Linked DNA regions of Mus musculus: regions 2, 3, 4, 5 and 6 are each reported to be linked to region 1. Evidence: microRNA targets listed by miRTarBase, many of them from high-throughput screens and not tested one by one. Region 1 holds a microRNA gene; each other region holds the end of a gene's coding sequence.
What was found. Region 1 holds the annotated microRNA mmu-miR-466j (UGUGUGCAUGUGCAUGUGUGUAA, at 2,817-2,839, opposite strand). A microRNA usually pairs through its seed, bases 2 to 8, with sites in the 3' UTR of a target mRNA and lowers its output. Matches are read on the target gene's strand: a 7mer-m8 pairs with bases 2 to 8, a 7mer-A1 pairs with bases 2 to 7 and ends in A, and an 8mer does both.

Region 1 (5,075 bases):
GAGGCCCTCAGAGGCAGCGTCCTCCCCGTTGGCCTTGTGCCTCTGCTTGCACACCCTGGTGATGGTGAACTCACTATCACTCAGAGGAGCCATTTCCATTGTGGGATAGTCTCAGCTCTAAAGTCCCCTACAGAGCTACGTCACTAGGTGTCTTACATGCTGTAGCCATATGGATTAAGCCTCGTGCTTCTCCAATGAGGTAACCTGTAGCCTAGACTTGGGTCAGACCGATGGTGGCATTTCTTTGTGTTCAGTTCAGTGCAAGGGGAGAGGCAGATTGTGGAAGAACAGTGGAGGGAGCATTGCTCTTGGGGAAGCTGCTTGGGTGCCCCCTGTCTGCCTGAGTCTGTGGCTTTAACTAAGGCCCTCCCCACATCTCTTTCTCTGGCCAATGGCTTGGTCGCAAACTAGAGGTAAGTGGAGATTCATACAGGTGCGTAGAGCTTCTACTTCTCTCTTGAACCTGGACACCATGCATAAGAGCAAGCCCGGCCCAGCTTGATGGGGTGATGCAAGGACCCAGCTGTCCTCTGCAAGGTCCTCCTCCAATTTTTTTTTTGGTGTTGTTGTTGTTTTGTTTTTTTGTTTTTCAAGTCAGGGTTTCTCTGTGTAGCCCTGGCTGTCCTGGAACTCATTTTGTAGACCAGGTTGGCCTCAAACTCAGAAATCTGCCTGCCTCTGCCTCCCAAGTGCTGGGATTAAAGGTGTGTGCCACCACGCCCGGCCCTCCTCCAATGTTCTAATGCTAGAAAGGCCTCCAGCTCACCACAGGCACCACAGTGGGGCTACTTAATGGCACAAGCCTCATCCCATCAGCCTGCTGACCTGAAGCCTCACAAGGAATCGTGGTCACAGCTTTATGGTAGCGTGTACAGAGGTTGGTCACTGTCTTAGGATTTTACTGCTGTGAACAGACATCATCACCAAGGCTGTTTTTATAAGGACAACATTTAATTGGTGCTGGCTTACAGGTTCAGAGGTTCAGTCCATTATCATCAAGGTGGGAGCATGGCAGCATCCAGGCAGGCATGGTGCAGGAGGAGCTGAGCTACATCTCCATCTGAAGGCTGCTAGAAGACTGACTTCCAGGCAGTTAGGAGGAGGGTCTTAAAGCCCACACCCACAGTGACCCACCTACTCCAACAAGGCCACACTTCCTAATAGTGCCATTCCCTGGGCCAAGCATATACAAACCATCACAGTCACCTACCTAAAGGTGGCTAAGAGTGCTTCTCCAAACTGTCCATTCAGCAATTTTGGCCATAGGACTTCAGATAATTCATTTTAGGAGTGCAGGAAGTAAGGGTCAGGGTTGGGGGTGGTCACGCACTGGCCTAGAATGCTGGAATCTGGTTTTGCGTTCTTACCCATTAAGTGGGTTACTATGTCCTGTTGTTCTTGGAGAGTCGTGATGGTGGTTGTGGAAGTATGTGGCCAACATTGAAGGGAACCTAGAAAGACTGGGGCTCGGGAGGGTGCACAATTGGCCTGTGTGGCTGATGTCCCCAGGCTGTGTGCTGGGGCTTAGCTAAACAGAGGGCATGCAGTCTATTAACCCAGCTCACCTCCTGCTCAGAGGTGAGGCTGGCAGACTGAGTGATGGGCAGGCCAGAAACGTATTTACAAACATCCCTTTCACCTTCGCTTCCTCGGGTAAGCCCCATTGGCGGCATATAAATGAGAATCAATAGGCCAGTTATTAAACCGTAAATATCCCTCCCCTTAGGCTCTCGGCAGGAGTTTGAGTTCTCAGTAGAGGGTGGCGGAACTGGAAACCCATTGCTCTGGCCTCTCAGCTGACAGGAACACCCACATGGGGTTTGCCAGCCTCAGCCCACCCTCACACCAGCCACCCAGAATGGAGAAGACATTGCCAAGATTTTGAAGATTAGAAAGATGGCAGATCTGAATATCGAAAGAGCCCTCAGACTGCCACAGGATATTTACAGAAAGCGAGCTGAGTGGGCAGGCCCAAGTCCCTCTTCTGCCTGGTCAAGATGGATGCTTGAGGCAGAAAGGGACTGAGGGCGCTCTCCACACCCTGACCCTTCCCATGAATGGACAGACAACTAAGATCCCCCAAAGCGGGGAGGACGCATCCAAAGACATTTTCAGAAAGTGACTTGGACCCAGAAGTGTGGCCTTGAGTCAGTGCCACTGTCTGTCACGGGAGAGAAAGTGTACTACAGGGTGACAGTAGCTTAGGGGACAATAACACTGTTTTCTGAAACATGTCATGAGTCAGCTAACAAGGAGATGTGGGTGGGACATAGCAATGAACACGGGAAAAGAAAGATGTCTAAAGAAGCCGGGGTAGATGAAGCCTGGGGTGTTAGGGAAGCTCAGTAGGGAATGGGGGGGCTAGGGATGTGTGGCACCTGGAGAAGAGAGAAGGGACAGGTAGGCCTCTCTCTCTCACACACAAACACACACAGTGCACAAACACATACACACACAAACACACATGCACATAAGCACATGTGAGTGCACATGCATACATACAAACATGAACACATACATACACACATGCACATTTACACATGCATACACACATATAAACACTTATATACACATGCACACATACACACAAACATATATACACAAGCACATGTACACACACATACACAAATGTAGACATGTATACACACAGCTATACACGGGGACACACATGAACAGATACACACAAATACGCACACACATACACATACATACACACATGCACACACATACACGCGTACATATACCCACACACACGCATCCACAGGCACTTAAACATACGCACACAAACACACACATGTATGCACATATATACACAATTACACACATGCACATGCACACACACATACATACACATGCACACACATAAATGTGCACACATACACACATGCACAAACACACGAATGCACACACACACACACACACACACACACACACACACACACACACAGAAAGAGAATATCCAGGGACCCTGGTAGGCTTCCTGCGTTCCCTGAGTGTATGTCTCATGGTGGCCGTGCATGGGGCAGAGGGCATGGAGGATAAAGAGAGTCCATTCTTATTTATCTCACTTTATACAAGAGAAAGGAGTAACGGACAATCTAAGAAGAAGTACCAGATTAAGGAAAGACAACCAGAGGTGACACTGGGATGAGATGGTGATATGATGGTGGTGAGGGTGGTGGTGGTCGTGATGATGACCATGGTGATGATGATGATATGATGGTGATGATGGTGCTGGTCATGATGGTGCTGGTGGTGCTGGTGATCATGATGATTATGGTGTTAAGACGCTGCTGCCTGAGAGGATAATGATGGTAGCGATGCTGACAGTCACGATGCTAGTACCGTCACTTTCCAAAGTCTTTCTGTCATCATGCCCTGTCCTAGCTTCTTTATCACCATGCTGTTAAATTTGCCACTAATCCTTAAGCTCCTGAGTATTTCCTCACATCTAAAGGGGAATGGCAGGGGGCTGGTAGCGGTGGCCAGCTCGAGGAAGCCTTGCATGCCTGGCTAAGATGTAGGATCCACCGTGAGGTCATGAGGAGCTTCTCGCTGTGGGCAAGGGATTGTCTAAGAAGAGACATCTCCTGCCTGTTTGTTACCAGACTTTCAGGCAGGGCTGGGGTTACCTAGAAGAGCGAGATCTTTCTCCTGGCTGTGGCTTCTCTCGACAGCTCTGCCTCTGCCAGGGCTCCTTGTCCTCTCCAGCACTGAGTATCTTGGGTTTGCTTCTATGAGGAGCCTCCTGTCCTCAGTTCACATGGTGACATCTAATTACCCAGTCTGTGGACTGCCTCTCCTTGACATATCTATAGTAGTGGACAGAGCAGAGCAAGGAGCTCCTCCAAACCTCGTCAGGCATAAGGGAAGTCTCCATCCTGGGGAGACTCTATCCTTGATACACACTGGAATAAGTGGTACACCCTGGACCACTGATGCAGCTTTGAGGCAGGTGAGCCTGGCCAGGCATGGATACACCCAACACTTAATGTCTGGATGCTTCCCCACATACGCAGAGTTGGAAATGCCTGGGTTATACCTCAGGCACCCTCCCTGCCTAGATCTCATGTGATCAAGATCTGGAAAGCACCTTTCTCACCGAGGGTAACAGCTGACATTGCTGTTTAGGGCTGGCTCAATCATCCACTAGGCAGGGCCTGTATCGTAGAGGCAGTGCTAACTCCTGTCAGCTTCAGCATCTTTGTGTAACTCTGTGTCGCTATGACCAAATGCCCAGCACAAACAACATAAGGAAGGAAGGGAAGGCTTATTTTCGCTTGGGATTTTGGGGGGATTTTAATCCATTGTGGTAGCATAGGTGTGGTGAAGCGGTTTGATCCGTGGTAGTGGGACTGTGAGAGCTCAGGCTGGACCAGGAATGCAGAGAGTTCTCTAAAACCAGAAGCCGCTATCACCATCAAAGATCTGCCTCCCTCTGGTCACCTATATCATCAGCCAACCTCTACCTCCAAAGTTCCCACAGCTCCCCAAATTAGAATCACGAGCTGACGACCAAGCATTCAAAGTATGAGCCTGCTGGGGGACATTTCAGATCCCAACCATGACAATTCCAGTTACACTGAGTGTCTGAGGTCAGTCAGGGAGCTGAGGCAGGATGGGCTCCAAAGGAAAGACCCCTTCCCTGCTGCCCCTTTCTCGTGTTCCTGGGAGACTATCTAATTCTTCCTCACTCCCCCACCCCAACTCTTGTCTGCTTGGTGGTTCTGGTTCAGGTCCAGGACCTTGTGTCACCTCTGCCCCCTGGGACAATGGCTGAGTCTTCTTCACCCAGGACTAAGGATATGTGAGGTTGAGGAGATAGCTCGGTGGGTAAAGAACTTTCTGTGCAAGTACGAACATCTGAGTTCAGGTTCCCAGCACCTATGTGAGAAGCCAGGCCTGGCGAGGTACATCTGTCACCTTAGTGCTGGGAGGGAGAGACAGACGGATCCAGGGCTGTGCTGGCCTGCAGTGTACTGAGCTCCAGGGTCAGTGAGAAGCCCTGTCTCCAAAGGTAAGGTGGAAGGCAGAAGAGAATGAACTCAACGTCAATCCATGGCTTCTACATGAGT
Region 2 (5,075 bases), not on the chromosome of region 1:
GAGGCACCTCTGGCCACTTGTCCTGGTGCCACTGTACAGAGCGACCCAGGTTTTTGAATGGGTATCGCTAGCAGATGTACTTTTGTTGCAATTTGGGGAATGGTGATTCAACAAGAAGAACACAGCCCTTGCAGTCAGCTATGAAGCTTAGAATCAAAAATTTTTGGTAATCTAGTGCCTTCAGTAGTCAAACTGACAAGGCCAGTAATTTAGTGTGGGAATTCCAGTTCTCCCAGTATTTCCTAAAATCCAATATAGTGTGGGGAATGCAAGTGGCCTCTAATTCGATGGCGTATTCCTTTTGCCCTCCACATTGCCAATGTTAGTTCTTCCTTCTCCATTTTGTGTGCACGCGCGCGCGCACACACACACACACACACACACACACACACACACACACACACAAACACAAACACACACAGAAGCCCCTGGCTGATAATGCGAGTAGCTTTGCCATCAGTTAAGTGACATTTCCCTCCAATGTTTCAAGTGGTTATTTTTATCCAGTACTTATATGACTGAAAGGAGCCATCACTGTGTTTACAGAAATACATCATAATGACACACACTGCTGTTGCGACACATTTGCATTAGAGCTGTGACTCAAGCATCCCTTTTGACGTGTTTGCCAAGCAGCTTTGGCAAGTGTTGCCACATTAAGCACACAGCAGGAAGACTCACACGGTATGTGCAAACCCACTTTCCATTACATTTCTACAAACCCACATGTGAAAGCTGTCACAGACTAACACAGACCTGTACTGCGAGATGATACCGCACTGAGGAAATTATACACTTCAAATTCTAAGTCACCAAAAATGACCTTCAAACTACAAAAAAAAAAAAAAAAAAAAAAAAAGTCAACTGATCTATAGAGAAACTAAGGAGGTAGCCAGTGGGTATCAGGGCTAGTCTAGAGCACATACATGGTTGACTCCCTGTACCGCAAAACACAGAACTCAAATGAGGGTCATGTTTGCGTTCTGGACATAATTCACACCTTCCCAGGAGTTTTGTCCACTTTCTCAGTTGCAGAAGAGGCACAAGTCATTAAATGGCAGGGATACGCAGAAACCACACACCTGCAGATTCCTAAGTTTAGGAGTTATTGTTTAGATTTTGTGTTGACAGCAAATCATTCAAGAATCATTACTGGACTGAGAGAAAACCACAATCCAATTGTGCCAGTGCCGACCACCTGATGCCATGCATCCAGCTGCACCAAGTAAGACTGCAGTAACCTGTCTCCTTGTCATCCTGACGAAGGCATGGCCTCGGTGCAGATCACTGAAGGGTAAGGGGCAGTCTACAGGAACAGCCCACTAGCGACTGGCAGAGGCACGCGCTTCCCTCACCACCTGACCAAGAGATCAGCATGCTTTTACTCCTCCACTCTCTACCATAGGGAAGCCTTAGGAAACACATGGTGACAGTCCCCTAAATGCTGTGACCGACGAGGAACAGGGCTAAGGACTTGTAGAAACAGCTACACTTTTCTTGATACCACGAGAGGCTCAACACCCACAAATGGGCTGATGAGAAATGGGGCCTTATCAAATGTAAAACTCTGCTCCCCTCCACAGGTCCCTGGTCTCAGTCCCCTGACAGCTCATTCCAGGGCCATCATTCTCTTGGCAAGATCTGTGCCTGAGGTTAAACACTTGTGAGAAGCAGGCATTTTAATTTCGAAAATGAAGGATACACCAGGAAAGCACCACTGTGAACTATCGAGCCTTGGACACTGGGACTCCGGACCTACCCAATCACTGACGAAAACGCCACATTCAGTTACACCAGCCCGGCAACCACATTTTCCTCACCAATGACAGGGCACAGCTGCATCCTGAGATATTTTTAACTCAAGTCTACTTCCAACCAACGCTGAACGGCTCAGGGTAATTCTAAAAGTTGACAGAGGACTAGGTTTTGCATCACGAAAACAATGTGTCTGACTGCCAGAATGACGTGGAAAAGCAAACCAAGTCAATTTGACAACATCTTCAGACCTCTAGACAACAAACTCAAGGCATGTGGGGAAATCAGGGTAGTCAGCTTTAACAGGGAGTTCTGCCAGAAGCGGCACCTTTTGCAGGCTGACTTAATAGTCAGGGGACCACACAGGAAACCACTATGACTTGAGTAGCACCCCAGCCTTAAATGGATGCCCACACAGGGAAAGAGCCAGCAGAAGGCTGAAACAATCCTAAGTGTTTGACTGCTGGTATCAGGTGGTAAACTAAGCTGAAGAAAACAGCAATCACATAAGCAGGCAGAAAAAAGGGACACTTGACTAGGCTAATTCTAGGCCCTCATGTAATTACATGTGAGAACTGCTACGGCGGAGGTCAGCATTGTAGTCCTTAGTTTCCACATATGCACAACAGCTAGGTTCCCGACACTGGAGATTTCCTAGGCCAGACTTCCCAGACCTTGGATCACACACAAGAAACACCCCTTTCAACATCATATTGAACGAATGCTCCAGATGTAATTGACAACAGCTCATCAGTAGTCCACTGCACTTCTTATTATTATCATCCAGACCTTGCAATACAGTACAGGAAGCAGCGGGTGCCCTCTGCACATCTGAAGCAAGTGGCAAGAACCCTTGGTGTAGGTGTACCCACAAATGATTTAGATACCCCCTTCCTTAAAGCTACATTTGATAGTGAAGGTGATACAGGCTCTTAGTCAACTAAAGCTAATGTCCGCCTATGCAGAGATGACAATTAGAAGCTGCATTGACAAAGGCTTGTCCCAGGGCATGATGCTACCCAGAGTTGGTGTTGAGATCAGAGCCTTTAAAGAGGTGGAGGAGGAACTCAGGCCTCTCCATGGGGACTGTCTGATTCCTTATGCTAAGGCTCTAAGGCCCTGAGGCTAGCTCCTGCTAACTTCCCAAACTTAATGTAAAAGTTGCAAACTCGTGGAAGAGAAAACTCGATGGATCATTTAAAGACTACAAGACAACCAAGGGAAGCTTGTCCAAGCTTACTGACTAAATAAACCACCAAAGAGAGGAACGGGACTCAGCAGAGCAGATAAACAGCAGTATGAGAAGTCTTCGGTGCTACAGATGAGGATTTTAACAAGATGATAGTGAGTGCCCCAGACCAGCAAGAAGCTATCAACATTAATGCTATCCTGGATGTTATCCGGAGACAGTTTTTATAGTTAGGAAAAAACAAACAAACAAACAAACAACCCTTTCTCTTGGACAGCCAAAGACACTGGTCTTGGGTCCACTGTAAATGACAGCTCATTTACCCATTTAATTTCTTTTACTTCTAAACTGTTCAGCTGATTTGTTCAATATTTGCTAAATATTGAATCTAAAGGATGCGTGATTATTCTGACAAAACTGGCCTCCCCAAAAGTCCTTTCTAAACGGATACTCACAGTCTGAATTTCTACCCCATTTTCAAAGCTCTTTGCTGTGTTTGTAGATGACACTCATAATTTTCACAAACGCTGCCCATTTAGCTTTTGGTTCCACAAAGAACATAGTAATCTTGATTTGTTTAATAAAGCCAGTGTTCTCCGCAGGTCCAAAGCGTAATCTCCATCAGTAACAATTATAGCACCTCTGTAGCCTTTACTAGGAAGTGGTTCCCAGGGCATCACTAACCTCACATACGGATTCCACAAATTAAGCAGGGAAGCAGAAGGGTAACTCAGAGCTTAGACCGAGGAGGATGTGCACAGCTGGATGGGGCGTTTTCATCCATGACAATGGGAAACAGAAGTTTTATATATGCTAAACCTTCACTCAGCCCAGCAAAGGCCTCAAATTTCAGAGAAATCACCCACCAGCCATTGCATAGTTGTCAGAACGGCCTTGACGCTCCACGTCTACAATACCAGACCCCTGATCAACAGCAGATGCCGTCGTTCATGCCCTGCGTTTGATCTTACTCAACAGCCAGCTTGTGGGAGTTCTCGCTGAACCCACCACCCCGGCACTGTGTCAACGAAGTATGACTTAAGGCTACGGAAGCTGTGCGTTAGGAACTTATGAAACGAGGCATTGGAAAATGGTTTTCAATCTTTGGATGTTTCCTAAAGATATAAAGAGAATCTCCTGCTTGTCAACCACAGCGAGGAGGTTGCCCTTCTGATGGACACAGTGAGTTCTGTCTGTAAGGTAACAGAAAAAGTAGCCGACGTCCACACCTACGCGCTCTCTATAGACATGGCCTCTGTTCTGGATTCTTCCCGTCAGCGTTTAAAACGGATGGAGGCTTACAGTGTCACCTAGCTTGTGTCTTTGCTGGGAACTCTGAAATGAAGTCTTAGGAAATCGAAGACAGCTTACTTGTTACAGTTGCTCGTCTTCCCTTCGCCCATGTGCAGGAACACTAACTGAGCCTTCCCTGGAGACCAGCTCTGCTCAGGGGGCCAGGCTTCCCTGAAGATCTGGGACTGGAGACACCCTCAATGCCTAGCTAGAAATGACTTCATGCCAAATGTACATTTTCCTCTGTGATATAACACACCCCAAATCTACTGCAGGTGCTAGAGATTTCCCCCCCGAAAATCCTAAAGTGGATTCCTGTTTGGGAACTGTGGCAGTGGGTCAAGAGTTTTAAGTCCGAGAATGTGTAAAGTGTGACGGAATTACATGCTTTGGACTCTAAGTGACATGGGAATGGACATTCACAACTGGAGCTCTTACACAAGAAACCACACAGCACTGGGACGATTGTGTCCACTAGTCCCCAGATCCGTCCTGTGTCTTGCTGAAGACCTCATCCTGGGAAGCCTGGTGATCCATCCCTTCATAAAACGAGCCACCGTTGTGCAGGAAAGTCCCCACGGCCCGCCCCTGTCGGGCATGACCTACAGCATCGCTGAACACTTTGTTTATCTGCTCCTCCGAGGGCATCCACCAATCAGGGTTTGAGGTACAGTGCATCCTAATGAATTCTGTGGGAACAGAAACAACAGTAAAGACGAGAGAGAAAACAGCTGGTTTTTGGACAGATGATACGAAGGCAGCTTAGCCTACACCAGAGGCAACTATCAGCGGAGTCACATGAAGGTCCCCAGCAATGCAATGACCGCACCACTCACTC
Region 3 (5,075 bases), not on the chromosome of region 1:
AGGCATGGCAGCAGTCAGGAAGCAGAGGGAGAGGAAGCCGGTCCTTAGCTTGCTTTCCACTTTAGTCAATCTTGGAAGCCAGCGCAGGACGGTGTTACCACAGCCAGTGTAGGATGTTGTCACCACAGGCAGGATAGGTCTTCCCTCTTCGTGACCCTGATCTAGAAGCCCCTCACAGACAGGCCCAGAGGTTTGTTTCCATTGCAATTTTAAATCCCACTAAGGTGATGTAAAGATTCATCATCACAGAGGCAAAGAGGGGAGGGAGGGGCATCCTCAGGGTGACAGAGGCAGCAAAGAAAAGGGCCCTGAGTGGAGTCGGGTGTTGGGTGTCTGACTCAAACTTGCTGTCGGCGGGGAGAAGGAGTCTGTGTGAGGAACGGGCAGAGAAAGAACTGTGGCTCTGGCTTTGCTGCTCGGGTCAGTTAGTGGTCAAATAGTGATGACCCTTAAGTAACCTCTTCTTCCTACCGCCAGCCCTCAGCAGCCCCCTGCAGCTCCTGGCAGCCCAGGCAAGTTCATCCACTCCAGTGGTCATCACCCGGGTGTGTGAGGTGGGGCCTGAGGAGCCAGCAGCAGCCGTCTCAGTAGCCGCTAATGCAGCGCCAACCCCAGCCGCCTCCACTACCACATCTGCCTCTTCTAGCGGAGAGCCCGAGGTCAAGAGGTCCCGGGTAGAGGAACCCGGTGGGACAGCCACCACACAGCCCACAGCTATGGCAGCCACCGGCCCTCAGGGCCCGGGGACCGGCGAGTGAAGTGTCGCCTGCAGGAAGGTGGAGTGAAACTCACGCCACAGGAGCCCTAGTGGCCAGCAGCTACATTCAAGGACCGAGTGGAAAAGCCCATCACAGCCTGCAGCCCTCATGTGGGTGGCCGCCGCACTCGGACAGTTTCCTTTTTATCTCCTGTCCTCCCATGGTTTGAAACAAACACATAAACACGTACAGACAACTTGATTGTATGAATCTGGGGGTTCTGTGTGTTTATTTACCCCTCTCTCATGCCATCGCCTCTCCCCAGTTCTTGGGGGAGAAGGTCTATCTAGCCCAGCTCCTCAGGAATGGATCCCAGGCAGCGCCCACAACAAGAGCCTGAGCCCCAGGCCTGGACAGAAGCACAGTGCAAACCCAGGCTCCTCTCTCTGAGAGTGGGTCCACGGATTTCCTATTTGTGACTGATCCGGGAATAGACCAGAAAACAGAATGGCAAGAACTTCCCAGCCACAGGCTAGGATACAGAGCCCTCTCCCCAAAAGTGACAGAGACTGTGGCATTAACTGGGGTCAGGGAGATCTGCTTTGGCTTTGGACCCTAAATATTTCTTTCAGCTAAATATGGAATCTGGGCTCATCTCCAACCTGAGACACACAGAGCAGACCATGTGTCTCTGAGGTTCCCTTTTGTAGGCAGCCAAGCAACACCAGGCCCTGCGCTCGACCACACCAGGCCCTGGTGAACATGCCGCTCTCCCTGATAACTCCAAGAAGGATGGGCGGCTCCCACATTGATGGATCAAAGAGCTCTGGGTTGAAAGTCAGCCCAGGGCCAGTGCCCACAGCACTGAATGAGTCGAGAGCTGCAAGCTACAAACGGATCTCCAGGGAAGCCTGAGCCAGCTGCAAGGGAAGTCGGTCAGCCACTTGCTCAGCAGGAGGATGATGGATGGTGGGTGGTATGCGGCAGGAAGACAGCAGAGGATCTGGGCGGTGATCTGCTCACACCGTCTCCTCCCCCACCCACCCCACCCCCATTCCAGTTAACTGAGAACCCTGTCCAGTTTGAAAATGGAAACCCTCTTTTCTACCTGACCGTTATCCTCTGGAAAGGAAACTACCTCTCCGGACAGCAGTCGGTGCCAAGTTTGAGTACAGTGCAGCAAGAACCAAAGCGTGGGTGTCAGCTGAGGACTTGGACGCCCGGGGAAGGTCCCTTTGCATGCCGGACAAGTGACCAACAGCACTTTAACATACACCACACCAAGTCTCGTGAGCAGGAGCCATCAAATGTTTCTCTCTGTGAGAATGAGAGTTGATTTTATAGAAGCAGTCATGGGGGCTGTGCGACAGGAAACTCCAAAGCAGCCAGAAACTCAGTGTTGGTCCTCCTAGAGGGTGGTCGGTAAGCAGCTGGCAACAACTTGGACAGAGCCCCAGGCCCTGTCGTTGGTATCAAACCACCCACCAGTCAGCCGCCTTCTCTGCCTGGTGCCGGTCAGAAGAGGCCCAAGGGCCCTGTGGGCAGAGAGCAGGCTGGACAAGCTGCCTTTGCTGGAAGGGACTCCAGACCTGGAGGCTGTGGTCACAGGAGAGCAGATGACCGGGATGGATAAGTCCAAGCTCCGATGTATGGCTGCTGCCATTGAAGCCACCAGTGCCCCCCACACATCAGGGACCAGGGCGGAGCACCTGCCTCCTCTCTTGAGCTATCTCCCAAGCTCCCCAGCCAGTCATTTCTGTAGTACTCGGCTTCAAGCCAGTGTTTTGGAGGTCTCCTGCCTATTGCCTGGAAAGGTTCAGAGAAGTGGGGCTGGTGTGATGGTGGCTGGGGGAGGGGTTTCCCCTCAGAGGGGGCAGAGGGCTGGCTCTGTCTCACATCTTCCCTTGGTACCTGGCATGAACTTCTCTCTGTGTGCCTGGTGTGAGCCTGGGGTTAGGGAAGAACGAATGGGGTGGAGATCTGAGTTGCGTAGTGGGCTGAGGTGACAAGGGACGTTGGTGCCAGCTGCTGATCTTTCCCTCCATCACCCTTTACTCCAGGGCTGTCCATGGTCACCCTCCAAGGCAGATTAAGATTGTGGATGGTCATGAGCAGGTTGCTGTCCCAGTTCCTGAAACGTGGGCTCCGTGCTCTGAGGCAGATCTTCACCATTAACAGGGGCGTGGAAGGGTATGGAGAGAGAGAGAGAACACACACTGTCCCGGTACACGGCCTGACGGCCTGGTTGGACAGCCTGAGCTACAAGGAGGCTAGACTAGTGCTGCTGCTCTGCGGAGTGGGTTTGGTCATCTGCTGGGCAGAAGCTGGCACCAGAGCGTGCTCCCACAAGCTCTGAGCCAGGAGGGCCATGTCCACGCACTGTGTGGCCCATGGCTGGCAACCCTGGAGCACCCCACTAAGCCCTGGGTTGGGGGAACAATTCAGGAACAGATGTGAAGCCTTTATAGACAAAGGAACCCCTTGGGCAGTGGTAAAACAGTGTAAGGTGGGGGTTAAAGGTCAGTGAAATGTAAGAAGAAACCCTTCCCCATAGAGAGAAACGGGTGGATTGTTCCTGTTCTTCCTCAAAATCCTCAAATTTCATAACACCCACGTGACATTGCTCGCCCAGTCCCTCCCTCCCCATCCGAACTGCACAGTGCCTGCTTAGAATAAGTCAGAAAGGGGTGGCGTCTCAGCTCTAGTGAAAGGTCCCTCATGTGTGGGAAACATCACATCCTGGCCAGGAGAGGCAAAGTCACCACAAATGGCCACAGGGTACCCCGAGGCTAGGTCAGGGGGAACAGAGCGGCCACCTATATCCTCACCTCCGGTCTCCCAGAATACCTCTGCTTAGAAGCAATATTAAAAAGGATAAGTCAAGCTGTTCCAAAGATTGCCACTGCAGACACCACTTCCCTTCAGAGCAGGCCCTCTGACAGGGACTTTGGCTTGCTGGGCCGGGTGGGCGGGGCAGAGAACAGAGGCCTTCTGCCTGCTGCTTCAGTCCTGCTCCCCATTTAATGCCCCCTTTCATCTTGGGAGTTCTCATGAACTCAGGGTGGGTCTTGCACCCACCTGCTTGTTGGGCTCTAGATTGTTTTGTTTTGGGTTTTGTTTGTTTGGGTCTGTCCTGCAAGGTGAGCTACTAGGCCAGTGCTCTACCACTGGCTGTACTCCCAGCCATTTTGATTTTTTAAACTTGAGATGGGACTCACAAAGCTGCCCAGGCTGGCCTTGAACTCCCAGTCCTCTTGCCTCAGCTTCCTGAATTTCTGGGGTGATGGCCTACATGCTACCATGGCCCAGCGCTGTTTGCGTTTTGTCTTTTTTTGTTTGTTTGTTTCTGTACCAAAAGCTGCTACACTGGTGACACAGCAGGGTGTGGCCTAGGTGCCCCCACAGACTGGCATATGGCACGTCTCTCTCTCTCTCTGCCCTCCCTAACCCCTAACGTCACAGCTGCTTGGCAAGGGAACATTTTTGAACCAACCACAGATGTTTCCTTAGGAAAAGTAGGTTTTCTACTCGTGGTGAAGAACAAAAGCCCCCTGAGTGGTCCTGGCTGCTCCTCTGCATTGCCTCACTGCTCCAAGGTTCCCTCTATCAGGCCTCAGCTCTACTGCAGGGAACATTCTAGAACCTGCCCCCCACACACACACTCCCCCCCATGGGCACGGGGCATAACAGCCTGGGCAGGCCTGTCCCACAGATGAGGCCAGCCGCATGCCTTCTCCAGAGGTACCATCTGGGCACGAGGCAGGACAGAGGATGCTCGAAGGGAGGAAGCGGCCAGCTAGAGGGAGAGCAGTTTGGTAAGAGCTAAGGGGAGGTAAGCCGGTGGGACTGGAGGCTGAGGGCTGCCCTCACAGCTGGTGCCGAGCCAGCAGTGGTAAAGATCCCTCAGTGAGGAGTCTGTCTGTCTGTCTGTCTCTGTGTGTGTGTGTGTGTCTCTCTCTCTCAAAATACTTAGAGTGCTTCAGTCACAATGAAAAGCATGTGTTTCTGTACTTGGGCTAAGCTGTCAAACACAGGCTGCCTAGGGCCCCCAGGACCTCTTCCCCTAAGTCCTTGTCTGTGTGTGCACGCACACACACACACACACACACACACACACACACACACACACACACACGCACACCTGCCTTGTGAGAGTTAGAGGACTAGAAGGGCCTGCTGCTTTACCTCTGGAATCCTGTTCCTGTGACTACTCACAGGTGACCAGTGTGGAGGAATCTGGGGCCCAGGCACCCCAAAAGCCTGAGTGCAGACAGTGGCCAGGTGTGGTCCACAACCCCATATGTGAAGCACTTACCACCATTAGAGCAACCTCAGCACTGTCCCCTGTGTCCCTGGGACTGGCTGACTCTGAGCTCC
Region 4 (5,075 bases), not on the chromosome of region 1:
TCCTCTTTAAGCATATTTGGAAGGGTGGGGAGTCAATAAGAGAGTGCTGTCTTCACAAATAGCAGAAACTGAAAGGGAAAAACAAGCCATGCCTTTTGCTATACAGAGAGAAACACTGACACACTCACCCACCATGATTTAGTCTGTGTTCTACTGCTTCAGCACTATAGCCAAAGCAACCTGGGAAGGAAAGGGTTAACCTCACCCTACAGCTTATAGAACAGAGACCACATGGAGCCTATTGGCTTGCTTCTCTTGGTTTGCTCAGTTTCCTTTCTTACACACCCAGGCACTGCCCAGGGATGGCACCACCTACATTCACCTATCATTGAAGAAAATGTCCCCACACGCTCATGTCCAGACCAGTCTGCTATAGGCAGCTCCTCAATTGAAATCCCCTTTCTCTAGATATGACAGGTTTTTGTCATTAATAAAAACTAATAGGCACACCACCATGGGGTGAGGAGACCAACACACACACACACACACACACAATCAAAGAAAAAGAGACTTAAGAAAGTTGAAGATAGACATCTGTCCCGATGCTTTGCATTGCATGCATGTGTGAGTTAGGTAGATTTAAGATATATTGAAATGGGGCTGGAGAGATGGCTTAGCAGTTAAGAGCCCTGACTGTCCTTCCACAGGTCCTGAGTTCAATTCCCAGCAACCACATGGTCACTCACAGCCATCTGTAATGGGATCCAGTGCCCTCTTCTGGTGTGTCTGAGGACATGCATTAAATAAATAAATCTTAAAAAACAAAAGCTATATTTACATACTGTTACAGTGTAGGAAGATAACTGAGTGGATGGGTGAAGAACCTTTTAGTCAGCTTCCACATTATACCTGTGGTTAACTCACAAATGGGTCACCTAGGTAGGAGTTTGATCAGTGAATGTCTGACAAAAGTCATTAGAAGTTAGGAACTGACTCCTTAAAGCAGTAAGAGTTGGGCTGACACTGGACACTCCATCTTCTCCCTTACTCAGAACTCTCCCAGATCCTGCTCTGTGACCTCAATCTTCAGTTTGGTCAGCCCAAGAAGACAGAGGACCACAAAGAGGCAGAAGCAAGCCATCCATTTGAAGAGCCTGAGATTCCAGATGGAGCACCTGCTTCTGTCAGATTATCTGACTGAACTAACTCTCTCTCTCTCTCTCTCTCTCTCTCTCTCTCTCTCTCTCTCTCTCTCTCTGTGTGTGTGTGTGTGTGTGTCTTTTTTGGATTTCTGGTTTTTGTTGACTTAAAAATCTGGAAGAACAGCCAGGCGTGGTGGAACACGCCTTTAATCCCAGCACTTGGGAGGCAGAAGCAGGCGGATTTCTGAGTTCAAGGCCAGCCTGGTCTACAAAGTGAGGTTCCAGGATAGCCAGGGCTACACAGAGAAACCCTGTCTCGGAAAAAAAAAAAAAGCAAAATAAATAAAAATAAAAAATCTGGAAGAACTAAGTTTAGTGATATAATTTAATTATATAATTTAGTGATATAATTTAATATAATTATAAGTAAGCATGCCATCTTGAAAGCTGTTTTTTTGTTTGCTTGCTTGCTTGCTTGCTTGTTTTACTGCCTCAAAGGGCAATTGATTGCACTGATGCTGGAAGTCTGGTGTTGGGAATTGGCCTATCTGTATTTGCTGTGCTGTACACGGGCTTCCTTCCTCCGTGTCCTGGTAGAAGGAGGTGCTACTGCAGCAGCATACAGCTTTGCCTTTGGGTGACCCTAAAAAGAACTGATTTTCTGTTTCAGAGAGGGGTCCTGAATGACTTAATTTTTCTAAGATATTAATCTGTAGGCAAAGAGCAGAGCAATGACCCAAGCTGGTGTCATGAGGCTCATGGCTCAGATAGGCAAGACTGTAGCAGAAGAATAGAACTGAATAGAATTCAAAGAAAGCACACGTGTTGCTGCTAGTCATGAAAACAGAGATTCCCCGATTGCAGCTATAGTGGTGCAAGAGAACACCTTACCCACAACACTCATTTTTGCCCCTTTGTTCTAAGAGATTCAAATACATTTATGTCTCCTGTCATCTACTGCTTTTCTTTCTTGGTGCTGTGAGGAACATCTGATAAGAGTCAACTTAAGAGAAGAAGGGTTGATTTGGACTTATACTTTGAGGAAATACGGTTGATCTTGGCAGGGAAAGGAAAGTGAGGCATCTGGTCATACTGCAGCCACCATTTTGAAACAGGGGAAAAGACAGCAGTGCTGTGCTCTATGTACTCAACCCACATTGAGAGTGTGTCTTTCATCTTCATCTAAACCTCTCTGTAAACATGCTCACTGATACACCCTTAAGTGACTCTAAAACCCACTTGAGTTGACAGTCTTAACCATCGTAACTACCAATAAATGCTTTGAGATCTACCATGTCCTTACTTTTCATTACCTTTAAATACAGAGTACCGTAAAGCAAGGCACAAGTTGAGCTTACTCTATCAGAACCTGCAGCATCCTGCTGCCCTCTCCCGGGACCTAGCTCAGTATCTCACATAGTGCAGTCGCTGCAGATCCTTATGGACAGCCTCCTGAGGAAACGTATACAAGCTTTTCAGGTTTCTCATTTCCAAGTGCTGGATCCTTCCTAAATTGAGAACTCTTGCTTTGTAAGGGCAATGTTTTGCAGAACAACATTATTATTGTCACTGAGTAAGTGCTTCGACCTACTCCTTATCTTAGTGTGTCTTCAGTATTAACTTGGTTCCTTTTAAAAAGGTTTTCTTAACTCATGAAAATAAAAGTATAGAATATTCCTTCCTACTTGAAAATTGTGTAGGTCAGAAATCAAACTTTTGTCAATAAAAGTCACACAATGATGCCACGCAATGATGCCAGGCATCCCATGAGAATGAGATTGAGAGAAGAAGGGATGTCACTGCTCCGTGTGTACCAGGTTCATGTTGCTAAACATAAACAATACTGCAAATTGTCATCCCGCTACACTGACGATATCTTGATAAAGCTTACAGTAGTGAGGGGAAAGTCTGTGAATTGAGAATTTCTTTACTGTTCATAACTTATTGAACATCAGAGCTCAGACTCACCAGCCTTAAACATGCTCAGATCATGCACTTTAACCTGCAGCTGGGCAGAGTCCCCTAACACAAACTCTATTTTGTCTTAATATGGAATGCATTATTTAATTTATTGAGCGTTCATAGCAGCCCCTCCACAAAAAGAAAAAAATCAGCTTCAACATAAAACATGTAAAGTACTGATGGGTGCCCTGGTGATCACCTGCTAGCCAAGACTCTTACATTTCATAGCATCTGCTGCTAGCCCCAGAAAAGCAAAATTCAAACTTTGACGTACAGTTCGTGCTTAACAAGCATCACTTCCATGCCATCATAAAGTCAAAAATGGCAAGTTAAACCAACATAGGCCAGAAATCTCTCTCTACCTTTTGTTAAGTGTGATTTCAAAACTGAAGGAGATCTGAGGTGCTTCAAAGGGTTTAAAAGCCAATCTGAGGACAAGATAGCAGTTTTGCAACATACTTGTTGGGCTAATAAAGCAGAAAACCAGAGCAGAGGTTTGGATAGAATTCTCCAAAGGCCCACATGGTAGAAGCTTGGCCCCCTGCCCCCGACCAGGGCAGCATTGGGCAGTGGTGGAATCTTAGGAGATGAAGCCCAGTTAGGCAGAAGATGCAAGACATGGAGGGAAATGCGCTTCTTGTCCTTTCTTTTGTTTCCCAGTCACCATGAAGTGAACGGATGTCCTCACATTCTCACTTCATGATCCTCTATGAACTGTTGCAGGCCCAAAGGAACAGGAACAGGCGACCATCCCAGAAAGTCAAACTGTCTAACTGAAGGCCAGCGAATGCAAGTATCATCTAGTAGGAAGGTAGGCTCGAAGTGTGTGTGTGTGTGTGTGTGTGTGTGTGTGTGTGCGTGTGTGTGTGTTTACCAAGCATTGCTCGTCTTCCCAGGAGACCTTCAGTACTAGAACGGAGGCCACCATGGATGGAGACATGAGGGTCTGTGATAAGAGAAGCAACAAGAAGCCCAGCATGTTTGACAGCAAAGCTGCATCACTGAACCTAAGCCTATTTTCTTCTTGTATGTTCAGAAAGGTAGCTTACATTTGCTTTAAAATAAAAATATAACAGCAAGGACCAAACAACGTTGTCTTAAGGATCGAAAAAAGTAAAGCAAACGATAACTTTAATCCCAGGAAGTTATCCCCACATGCATTAATCTCATTACGAAAGGGAACACATAAAAACACACCCTGTAAAACCAAATAAGAAACGATGGAGTTCTATTTTTTTTTTTTGGAGCCTCTTAAGTTATTGCTGCTCCAAAATGAATTTTAATCATTTTAAGTTGTGTAAAAAACAGAACATGCCTCGGCCTGACAAAAGATTCATTATAAAATATATCAAAAATGACCAGTTTCAGTACTTTTTCAGCTTGCTCCACATTATTTCTGTACTGTATCAAGTACTGTATTTTGGGATGGATGTTCAAAATCTCATGTCTGCCATGCACTCTTAGACTTCAAATGTGAACATGATCACTTCTATACTCTATAAACATCAAAGAAAATAAATAAATCATGTGGTATTCAACAATCTTCAGATACTTTAAAAGGGCAGGGCAGAACTCTGGGCCCGAGTTAACAGTCTACTCCTAAGTGCTCGGCGATTTGCTAAGGTCACGTGATTTCGCCGCAGTGACCACCAAGTCAGAAAGGCTCATTTCTTGGCTAACTTGCTACAGACAGCCTGCAGCGTGTGTTAGTGTGCACTGGTATCTGGACCCTCGATTCTTTCCATCAATGAGCAACAGCGGCATTTTCCTGAAGTAGTCAATAATATCTGATACAGACAGGAAGTCCTGGAAAAGTCAAACGGGGAGATAAGTCAGCAGTGGAATGGACAGTACGCATTTATCAGGTAGTTTAGAGATTTCCTCCTCAATAGCCAACCAACTGTAAGTAAAAGATAGAAATAGAAAGTTGGGCCAGAGAGAACCTCAGTCTTCTGCAAGAGTAGTGAGTGCTCTTAGTTCTGAGCCATCTCTCATCCCATCTTATGGCATTTTAAATATTGTTTTATAGAG
Region 5 (5,075 bases), not on the chromosome of region 1:
CCAAAGCAAGCGAGCAATTATTAACTGTTGGGCAGAAGCCTGGGCACTGCGTGTCTTTATGTCATAACCCTGTGATCCTGCTGAAAGCCTCAGTAGGGGAATAGCTGCTGATCCAAGTAGTGGAGCGACCAGCATACGGAAAAGATGCAAGGACAGCAATTTTCTCATCCCAGCGTACAAATACTGTGTCTTGAGAGATTGTAGAAGCAAGAACTAAATTTGTTTCTCTTTTGGTGATAAGCATTATGAGCCCATTATTCAAGAAGCTTTAAAATTAAATCAATACATATACCTTTACATTTCATGTATGCTTCCTGCATAGTAATAGAAAATAGAAAAATCTACAAATAGCCAGCTTCCCAAAGACTATTACTAATGGAGTGCATTTTCTCTTCCGTTTATTTTTCTGCCCTCAAGTCTGCTCATAAGCAGTGGGGGTGGGGCCGTTTGTCTTCTCTATGACGTATGTGAAAGCAATGCTGTGGTGACGCTGGATATCATGATTGATGCAGGAGACATGGAGAGAGCTGAGAGAGCCTTCTCCATGGGGTGTGGCTGTCACAGACCCCGCTCAAAGTGTAAGCCCTGAGATCCCTAACGGTCTGCTTTTTCCTGTTCACAGCAAACCTTCTGGCTCAGAACCAACGCCAAAGTCCCGCATCGCAGACCTCCCTCCTGCCAACCCCGATCACATCGGTGGCTACAGACTTGCCACGGCCACTTTCGCTGGCATTGAAAACAAGTTTGGCCTTTACCTCCCCAAGTTTAAGTCTCCTAGCGTAGCTGTGGCTCAGCCCAAGGCGGCAGCAGCAGCCCAATGACATAGCAAGTACAGACCGAGGCCCAGGAGAACGGGCGGTACCGTGTCCAGTCAGCTGCATGGTACTGTCAGCGCTGGGGTCAACCACTTTCTATACGACCTATACATGTATTGTTTATAAAGTGATCATACGCCCAGGGAGAGCCGCAGTGCAGTTTCAAGCTTTAGTCTTTACGTGTTGAAATGTTTTCTGAGCCTTGGCATGAATTACGTGTTCTAGACTCTGCTTCGCACAGCTTGTACCTACAGTGACTGTACATATTGTACATCTTTGTACAGAGACACCTCGGCACCTCATCCCAACAAATCACGTTTATAAACATGAAACGCTGTTCTGAGTGGCTTGAACTGTACAGAAGGTTTTGAAAGTGTTTTATTATGAATCATGTAAGAATAAATGTACTAAAGTTAAATTCATTCTCCTCCTGATGACTTATGGAAATCAAGCAGCCATGTTTGAATGTATCCAGTTTCAGTTTGTTTTCCATTCGCGACTAGGAAGGTATTTGCTGATACAAGGCAGAGCGAAACTTAATGCTCACCACATTAAATAAGAAACGCGTGGGAAGGGTGCTTGCCCGTGGATGCCAGAGGATGAGCCGGTGACTCACGGGCTGCTGTGTTTCCAGTCGTTTGTAGCTGAGTGTAATCCTCCTGTCAGCTGGAAGCAGCTCCTCATGCGCGCGCGCACACACACACACACACACACACACACACACACACACACACACACACACACGAACGGGATGGGCTCCAGCAAGGCTCGCTTAGTTCTGCTTTTCTCCTATGCAGCAAGGTCAAGGTCAGGATGTTGCAAGAGTAAAGTTTGGAAGTTTCCCTTCGTAAAGTATGATACGAATCAAAAATAAAAGCACACCAAAATGTCTGCATGGAGTTGGTTTCCTTCCTAGGTCTCCTCTCGGGGCTTTTTTGTCTGCACTCGCCTGCTCCTAGGGGATGCATATTTTGTTACAGAAGGAACTCGGGTGGAGTGAGGGAGGGAAGCGGGGAGGTTCCTACATGGTGATTTTGTGAGCCTGGGTCCTTGCTAGGAGTTCAGATGGAGATGACTTCCTCAGAAGGTCTCTCTCTCTCTCTCTCTCTCTCTCGTGTGTGTGTGCACACACACACACATGCCCATATTTACTCTTTAACAATTGCTTCTGACCTACAGCCACATTTACTGTGGCTGTTACTTGATAGCTGGCAACATCAGGACTTACTAACTTTAGCGAATAGCTCTGGGAAAGCACGGCTGTGGCCATGGCTGTGAGGATATATGCAGATATCATTAGAGGTGAACCTGGAGATGGCCCAAGTCACCAAGTGCCCCTCACAGTGCTCACCAGTTGGTGGCTGACAACCCTGTATCTGCAACTCTGAGCTTTCTTGAAACCCTAAGAACAAAAGATATTTGAAAGCTGGCTATTTCTAAATGTGTTGGATTAGTCCCATTAGAACTGAACACACAGCATAATTAATTGTTCTTGCTATGCTTGTTAAAATTATACAAGTAGTTCAAGGACATGAAATTACATGTGTGTCTGTGTGTGTGTGTCTGTGTGTGTGTGTGTGTGTGTGTGTGTAAGACGATGACAAAGTGCCCTCGCTACCTCCTCTTCAACCAGCATTCCTGTCATCCTTTGCTGAGAGGTTAGAGCATAAATTTGTGATCTGTTTTCCATACATCTCCATATGTACATATTTATATATTTAGAACCAGGGCTATGCAATGTATGTGTGATTCCGTGACTTGGTTTTCTTAGTATGTCCCTGAGCTCTTTCCACATCAGTTTATAGAAAGTGTATCCTGTTTCTAGTAGCTGTGTATTATTTCACTGTATGGATTATGAAGCCTTTTTAAAATAGTCATTTCATTATTATTAACAACACTGTAGTTAGAGGAGAATATCTCTGTGTGTGTGTCATGATATGTTATTGTATATTAGTATTTGTTAGGGACTAATTCATAAAATAGACGGGTTTTTTATTTTGTATACATCTCGCCACATTGCTGTTCACAGAGGTCTCAATCTCCTGCCCCATGGGCAAGTTAAGATTGCCCGGTTCACAGGCAGATCATAAACAGAGGTCACTGTTGCAGTTTTTATTTTTCTAATTGCTAATGGGCTTGAATGAATGTCTTTTTATTGTTTGTTTGTTTTTTGAGACAGGGTCTCACTCTTGCAACCTCAGAGTCTGGGAACTCCCTATGTGGATCAGGCTAGCCTTGAACCTGTGGTAACCTTTGGTCTCCCCAATAAGGTGCTGGAATTGTAGGTGTGGGCAGAACATTCGCTGTCTTTTCATTTTTACTGGTCATCTGTACATTTTCTTTTTGTAAAATATACAGAAGGCATATGAAGTATCTAAGGCATAGACACAGAAAAGTGCATACAGGTTAAAATAGTACTCATGCGATGACCAGGTCAAGAAATACAACATTCTCAACCAGCCAGAAGTACCCGTGCACTTCTCCCCAGTCTTTACCCCATCCCCTTACCATGTCTTCATTTCTGCTTGGTTTTCCTGCTCACATATACATCCTTAAATACTGTGGTCCTCTTCCCCCTTTTTGAGACAAGATCTACCGTGGTCCAGGCTGGCCTCTTGGATCTACTTTCATCCAGGCTGGCCTCTTGACTTGTTTCTTGTGCATCAATGATGCACATATGTCTATGTGTATGCGAATATGTACACATGTCACAACACATGTGTGGTTGAGAGGATAACTATTGAGAATAAGTTTTCTCCACTTTCCATGTGGGGTCCGGGATTTGAACTCAGGTCTTCAGGTTTGGGCAGCAAGAGCTTTTACCGGAGCCATTTTGCCAGCCCTGACCTATTCTTATTTATTTTTTTGAAATTTGTATGAATGAAATTGAGACTTCTTGTGCTAAATACATATGAGAGTTTGTCCATTCTATTATAGGATGCATTATTCTTTACTTTCGATCTTAGTCTTGACTGACATTTGTTTTCCCAGTTTGTGATTATTATAGACAACGCTGCTATAGATAATGTAGACATCTATTCTTCACTGTGCCTCTTTTTTAAAAATGTGTGTGTGTGTGTGTGTGATGCACCATATGCATGTCAGTGGCTCCAGAGCTCAAAAAAGTGCCAGACCCCCTGGAGCTAGAGTCACAGGTGATTGTGAAATGTCGAACGAGGGTGCTGGGAATCAAACCCAGGTTCTCTGTAAGAGCAGAAAGTCCTTTCAACTGCTGAACCATCTCTTCAGCCCATGATATTCTTCATGTTTTGGATACTACTATGTGTTTGTCTTACACATTTTCCTACTTTGTGCCATGTCTTTTTATGATGGTTTTGATATACTAACATTTTAATTTTAATATGTCCAAATGTATTGGTATTTTTGTTAGCTTGTTGAGCATCTCATTAAAAAAATTATTCTTTATTGTTCTGGGACTGTTGCTGAGAGACAGCATGCTTGCCTAGCGGCTACAAGACCCTGGGTTCACTCCCCAGAACCACCAGAGGGTAAACACCAGACCTCTAGGTAAAAATGATAAAGTTATTTTCTTGTTATACAGTTTAGAGTGTTGCCTTTCACATTCAGGTTCCATGCAGTTTGGACCTCTCCTCGTGTCTCTGGCAATGTGGGGCAGACCTTTGTTTCTCTGATTGGCAGCCAGGCTTGCCAGCACTGTTTATTGAACGCCTGTCCTTTCCCAGCGGCTCTGGAGCATCATCGTTGTTGTTCACTAAGAATCAGCCTGGGCTTCACTGTCTCTGGGCTCCTTGCTGTAGGGCTCTCCTGTCTTAGATGCAGGTTCTCGCCCTACTCTGTTCATTTCTGTATCCAGTACAATGCACGCTCCTGATACACAGTGTGGTACTCGTCTCTCCTGTTGTTTGAGAGCTATGATTCTTCCTGGTTCTTCGCTCTTCTATGTATATTTTATCAGCTTATCAAAACCGTTTTAAAAGCACTGATAATTTAAACAGTAATGAATCTATAAGCTGCTTTGGAAGAATCTGTGTCATGATGGGGGCTTCTGATCCAGGAACATACTATATCTCTACTTAAATATTTTTCATGTCTTAATAAAAGTTTGTGCTCACCAAAGGAGTCGTGTACATCTCTTGTTATATGTGCTTTTAGGAAACTCATGCATTTGAATACTATAGATAATCTCTCTGTGTGTGCATGTGCATTTGTGTGTGTGCACATGCATGTGCATGCAGTGTTAGGGGTTCACTACAATATCTGTGCATGGTAGGCAAGCCC
Region 6 (5,075 bases), not on the chromosome of region 1:
TAAATAGGGGAGTGGTCTATTAGATTCATATCTCATATACTATATGGCCTTTAGACTATATCCCATGACTTGTAAAAAAAAAAAAAACAAAAACAAACAAGCAAAAAACAAAAACAAAAACAAAAAAAAAACCCTAAAAAACAAAAATTGTGAAAAAAAACGATGCAGTTGTGTTTAATCTGTTTGGTAAATAACTTACAGGTGCCTCTAGGGGGCGCCATCTCTTCCCAATGGGATGAAAGGAGGCCGCGACTGGAGTTGGGCTTCTCACACTTTCACCCTGAGTAGCAGTTCTCTTCCAGAACCCATGAATGAGTGAGGTTATGAGGGTCAGGCCTGGCTTCTGCCCAATACAGCAGCTGGAAACCTGTGAGAGCCAGAGGCACCGGGTGATGGTTTCTTTGCCTTCCACACTAACACGGTTCCGCAAGTCCATGCCATGTTGAGCGCGCCCCTCACATTACCAGAATGCAGTAAACGGAAGCCAGTCACACCAACCCCCCAGTCCTGCTCCAGGAAACCCTCCTCCTCCTCCACGCCACCACAGGAAGGCACCTATCAGCCTGCCTGTGTTTAAACAGCCGCCGAGTTAGTTGACAATTACACTGACTCCTGGCCTTTCTTACAGTCCATTTTCCAGCCTGACTCTGAGGCGGCTTTCCCCAGGTGACCGGCCCAGGCTCAATGCAAGACCGGACGCCAAGGTGCACCACCACCGTGTCTGTGCCCTGGCACCTTCACCTGCATTTGTTTGTCTAGTCACACAGTCATTTACACTTCGGACCCTTGACCTAAAGACCCAGGAATCTGTAACAAGTTCGGAACTAGGACCTGGCACTGAGATGGATATTAATTGTTTCCAAGATAAGGACAACACTAAATAGAAAACTTCAACGACGGTCTGAATTAAGCACTAAGAGTCCTTGGGTAGGAGTTGTTGGCAAAGGCCTCATCTAGTAAGTTGATCTGAGCTCGGAATGTTGTCTTTCCGCCTCATTTTCAAATTCTTTTTTTTCTTTCTTTCTTTTGCATCATTCTGGAGATTGAACCTTGGTTCTCACGCATGCCTGGCAAACACTCTACTACTGAGCCATAGCCCCCGGCCCCTGAGGACTTCTTAGATGCCTTCATTTTCCCAAGAATTCGTTTTATTTATGTGAGTGGGAGTGATTGTGCCACATGTGTGCAGGCGCCCCCTGAGGCTACAATAGGGCAGCAGACTCCCCGGAGCTGGAGCTGGAATTACAGGTGGTTGTCGCTGCCTGACCTGTGTGCTGGTAACCCGGCTTGGGTGCTCTGGAAAACCAGCAAGCACTGTTAACCACTGAACTATTTCTATACCCCTAAGAAGCCATAATTGAGTTGTGTGTAGGTGGCTGCCTGGCCTGTTCAGGCTGTTATAACACAATACCATAGACTGAGTGGCTTATAAACAACAGGAATTTATTGTTCTGGATCATAAAGGGGTCGTGTGTATGCAGATGTAATGTCTCTCGTGAGGGCCATTTTCTAGTTCAGAGATTGCTCTTTTTAGCTGCGTCTTCAGAGAGACAGTGAGGAGCTTGCCCTCTAGAACCCATAAAGCATCAGTCCCAATCTCATAACGGCCCACCTTAGAATTTTCACATAAATTTTGAAAAACAAAAATATCCAGACTATTTTTTTTATTTATTTAATGAAAGACCTAAGTTGGGAAGTCATGGTTTAAAGTGCCTTCTCGACACATGCTCCACTATGTTCATAGCAGCCTTATTTATAATAGCCAGAAGCTGGAAAGAACCCAGATGCCCCTCAACAGAGGAATGGATACAGAAAATGTGGTACATCTACACAATGGAGTACTACTCAGCTATTAAAAAGAATGAATTTATGAAATTCCTAGCCAAATGGATGGACCTGGAGGGCATCATCCTGAGTGAGGTAACACAATCACAAAGGAACTCACACAATATGTACTCACTGATAAGTGGATATTAGCCCCAAACCTAGGATACCCAAGATATAAGATACAATTTGCTAAACACATGAAACTCAAGAAGAATGAAGACTGAAGTGTGGACACTATGCCCCTCCTTAGAATTGGGAACAAAACACCCATGGAAGGAGTTACAGAGACAAAGTTTGGAGCTGAGATGAAAGGATGGACCATGTAGAGACTGCCATATCCAGGGATCCACCCCATAATCAGCTTCCAAACGCTGAGACCATTGCATACACTAGCAAGATTTTATTGAAAGGACCCAGATGTAGCTGTCTCTTGTGAGACTATGCCGGGGCCTAGCAAACACAGAAGTGGATGCTCACAGTCAGCTAATGGATGAATCACAGGGCTCCCAATGGAGGAGCTAGAGAAAGTAGCCAAGGAGCTAAAGGGATCTGCAACCCTATAGGTGGAACAACATAATGAACTAACCAGTACCCCGGAGCTCTTGACTCTAGCTGCATATGTATCAAAAGATGGCCTAGTCGGCCATCACTGGAAAGAGAGGCCCATTGGACTTGCAAACTTTATATGCCCCAGTACAGGGGAACGCCAGGGCCAAAAAGGGGGAGTGGGTGGGTAGGGGAGTGGGGGTGGGTGGCTGTGGGGGACTTTTGGTATAACATTGGAAATGTAAATGAGCTAAATACCTAATAAAAAATGGAAAAATATAAAAATAAAATAAAAATAAAGTGCCTTCTCGCTGGGAGGAGCAAGTGGCATGAAGAAGGGAGACAGGAGAGGGGGTGGGACTTCCAGAGGACACCTGGGAACCCAGCATGCTTATTCTGAGGGACTGTGTCACTAACAAGTCCTAAGTCACCGGCTTTTAAACATCTTTGAACTTGTAAATCTGGCTGCAAAGCAACTTGTGTCAACATCAATTCTAAGCATCTTCTGTATGCTATGACAGGACCATTCCCCTTTCCAAAGAGATGGCATAGAAATCAGTGCCAATGTGTGGGCTCAAGGTAAGTGTGCTTTTGACAGATGCCACCTCTTGTTCCTCAAAGCCAACTCAAGAGTTGGCAGGAGCAAAGCCAGAGTCAGGCAGATCGTTCATTTGTTAACTTATGTGTTTATTCTTTCTTTCAACAGATACCTGTTGAGTGTCTGTGTTGTTCTAGATGATGGAAATACACCAAAACTCCCTTTTATTCTAGAGAGGAGAGCTACAGTGGACAGGATAAGTCGCTATGCTATTTAGTATACAAGATGGAGAAAAGTGCTCAAGAGAAGAGTGGTGTGTGTGTGTGTGTGTGTGTGTGTGTGTGTGTGTGTGTGTGTGCACATGCGCGTGCATGAGCACGTGTACGTCTTGTAAAGTAGCAAGGTTAAGTTGGAATTGAACTTAAGGAGCCCAGCCTCAAAGTTCCAGACCTTGAGTCACTTAGTACGCTCCATGGCCATGCTAGCTAAGCAGACATGAAGCGGCTGGAAAGACCTGAGCTCAGATCTGGGGCTTCATGGGATTTTGTTCTTCCACCAATGCTCCTGACAAAGTGGTGTTGGGAAAGTCAATAGCCTTTTTAAGTTGAAATTCATCTGCAGTAGGATGAGAATTCACTGTCTGTGTCCTACAGATGAGAGGATGTGAAGTGCCGCCTGGGGACCTCATTCCGAGGACCCTCCACTTGCTCTTTCCTGCCCTACTCAGAACCACAAGGATGAATGGCACCTGGATAAAATCCAGAATAAATGATGTGTGTTCTGTTTCTCTCTTCTCACACATTCACAGTGTGAATACCCAGAGAATGGGGGGAGCTGTATTACTAGCCCCCACTCCTTTGTTAGGGTTTCAGCCAGGTCACTTTTTCACTCGGCCCCTTTAGGCCTGGATTTACGTAGGGCCAGGGAAACTTAGGCTTGTGACCCATTTTCTCGGTATTTTCCACTCTGGGCTTCACTATATCCAGCATAATGACCCAGCAGCAAAAGGGCCTAGACTTGAGTGCAGCTTGAGCTATGTCCACCAAGCCATCCCCAGCCTTGTGGCAGAGAAACACAATGTTTGTTCATCCCTGAGATTTCATGAATGACGTAGCTGGCTAGTGCAAGCAGTGACTATACAATCCATATGCTTAATGCTCACAGTCAACCAGGGAATAAGCGGGCCACTCTGATGACATCCTGCTAACACACCACTTTCAAAATAAAAGTGAGGTTCAGCAAGCTAAAGGAACAGGTCCGAGGTCAGGGCTCATAGTTGAAAGCATAGATTGAGTGCAGGCTTGCTCATCAGCAAAGCCACGATGTCATACTCATGTGCTTCCTTGCAGAGTACTGGGGACAGAGACAGGAGCAGCCCTGTTCCCTGAGCCATGGGTCCCACTATCCCATGAGTGAAGCTTATCACTTTAATGCATGACTAAACATATTGTGCATTAAACACATCACGAGGCCTGGGACACCTGACAAATTATAACTGAGCAGTTCATGTCTGGGAAGCAAAAGGAACAACCTTGAAGAAGTCTATGACAACCTTCTCAGCAAAGGCCGGTAGTCACCTGTGCCTCACCACTGTGTCCTGGATACTATGGCCATCGGTTTCCTCTGTAGCCACCTGCTAACTATGTGAAGCCATATGCCTGGACAGATGGTGGCGCTCCCGGAAGTACTCGTGGCAAACGGGGCAAGTGAGAACTTCCTCTCTTCGTTTCTTAGAATGTGGGTCAGGGCCCACGTGTTCCCTTTTGTGATGTGACCGCATGTGGAAGACCAGGTCAGCTGTCAGGCGAAAGGCTAGGTTGCACTTCGCACACCAGTTCTGAGTAGACAAGCCCAAGGAGGAGAGTGTGGGCGGCAAGAGAGCCCGGGAGGCTGTGGAGGAAGGAGCTGAGGATGTGGGGGCTTGTACCTGGGTATGCTCCAGCCATGGTGTGGGAGCCCCCTGGAAAGCATTGCAGAGGAGAATGTTCTGTGACAATGTGTGCAATTTCCAGAAATCACCCATGAACTTGAAAGTTGACAGATGAGCCCAATATGGGATGTCCACAGTGGTGATGAGTCCTGAGAGCTCCCATGAGCCCTCTGCACTTCCACCAGCCAGAAGCATGGGAGAGCGCTTAGGTTTCTCTGCTGGGCGTTTGGCTGG

Region 2: miRTarBase lists Bend4 as a target of mmu-miR-466j. Seed matches in the 3' UTR shown: 8mer at 344-351.
Region 3: miRTarBase lists Foxk1 as a target of mmu-miR-466j. Seed matches in the 3' UTR shown: 7mer-A1 at 4,786-4,792.
Region 4: the mRNA of Lcp2 is a reported target of mmu-miR-466j. Seed matches in the 3' UTR shown: 7mer-A1 at 3,896-3,902.
Region 5: miRTarBase lists Slc25a12 as a target of mmu-miR-466j. Seed matches in the 3' UTR shown: 7mer-A1 at 1,508-1,514.
Region 6: the mRNA of Zfp488 is a reported target of mmu-miR-466j. Seed matches in the 3' UTR shown: 8mer at 3,264-3,271.

Annotation. Positions count from the first base shown.
Region 1 is chr10:60,958,566-60,963,640 of GRCm38, reverse strand. Mir466j (microRNA 466j) reads right to left here and starts at 2,918; the gene lies at 2,797-2,918.
Region 2 is chr5:67,393,525-67,398,599 of GRCm38, forward strand. Bend4 (BEN domain containing 4) reads right to left here. Exons shown (of 5, transcript NM_001164806.1): 5 at 1-4,926. The coding sequence ends at 4,712. Among named protein-coding and RNA genes, the nearest start is that of Gm33345, 9.4 kb to the right of the region's middle.
Region 3 is chr5:142,455,999-142,461,073 of GRCm38, forward strand. Foxk1 (forkhead box K1) reads left to right here. Exons shown (of 9, transcript NM_199068.2): 9 at 478-5,075. The coding sequence ends at 758. Among named protein-coding and RNA genes, the nearest start is that of Ap5z1, 5.4 kb to the right of the region's middle.
Region 4 is chr11:34,090,340-34,095,414 of GRCm38, reverse strand. It overlaps Lcp2 (lymphocyte cytosolic protein 2), which reads right to left. Exons shown (of 21, transcript NM_010696.4): 21 at 3,134-4,850. The coding sequence ends at 4,728. 4930469K13Rik (RIKEN cDNA 4930469K13 gene) reads left to right here. Exons shown (of 5, transcript NR_155520.1): 3 at 3,768-3,855. Among named protein-coding and RNA genes, the nearest start is that of 4930469K13Rik, 5.7 kb to the left of the region's middle.
Region 5 is chr2:71,270,901-71,275,975 of GRCm38, reverse strand. Slc25a12 (solute carrier family 25 (mitochondrial carrier, Aralar), member 12) reads left to right here. Exons shown (of 18, transcript NM_172436.4): 18 at 623-1,706. The coding sequence ends at 821. Among named protein-coding and RNA genes, the nearest start is that of Dync1i2, 61 kb to the right of the region's middle.
Region 6 is chr14:33,965,644-33,970,718 of GRCm38, forward strand. Zfp488 (zinc finger protein 488) reads right to left here. Exons shown (of 2, transcript NM_001013777.2): 2 at 1,427-5,075. The coding sequence ends at 4,548. Among named protein-coding and RNA genes, the nearest start is that of Zfp488, 11 kb to the right of the region's middle.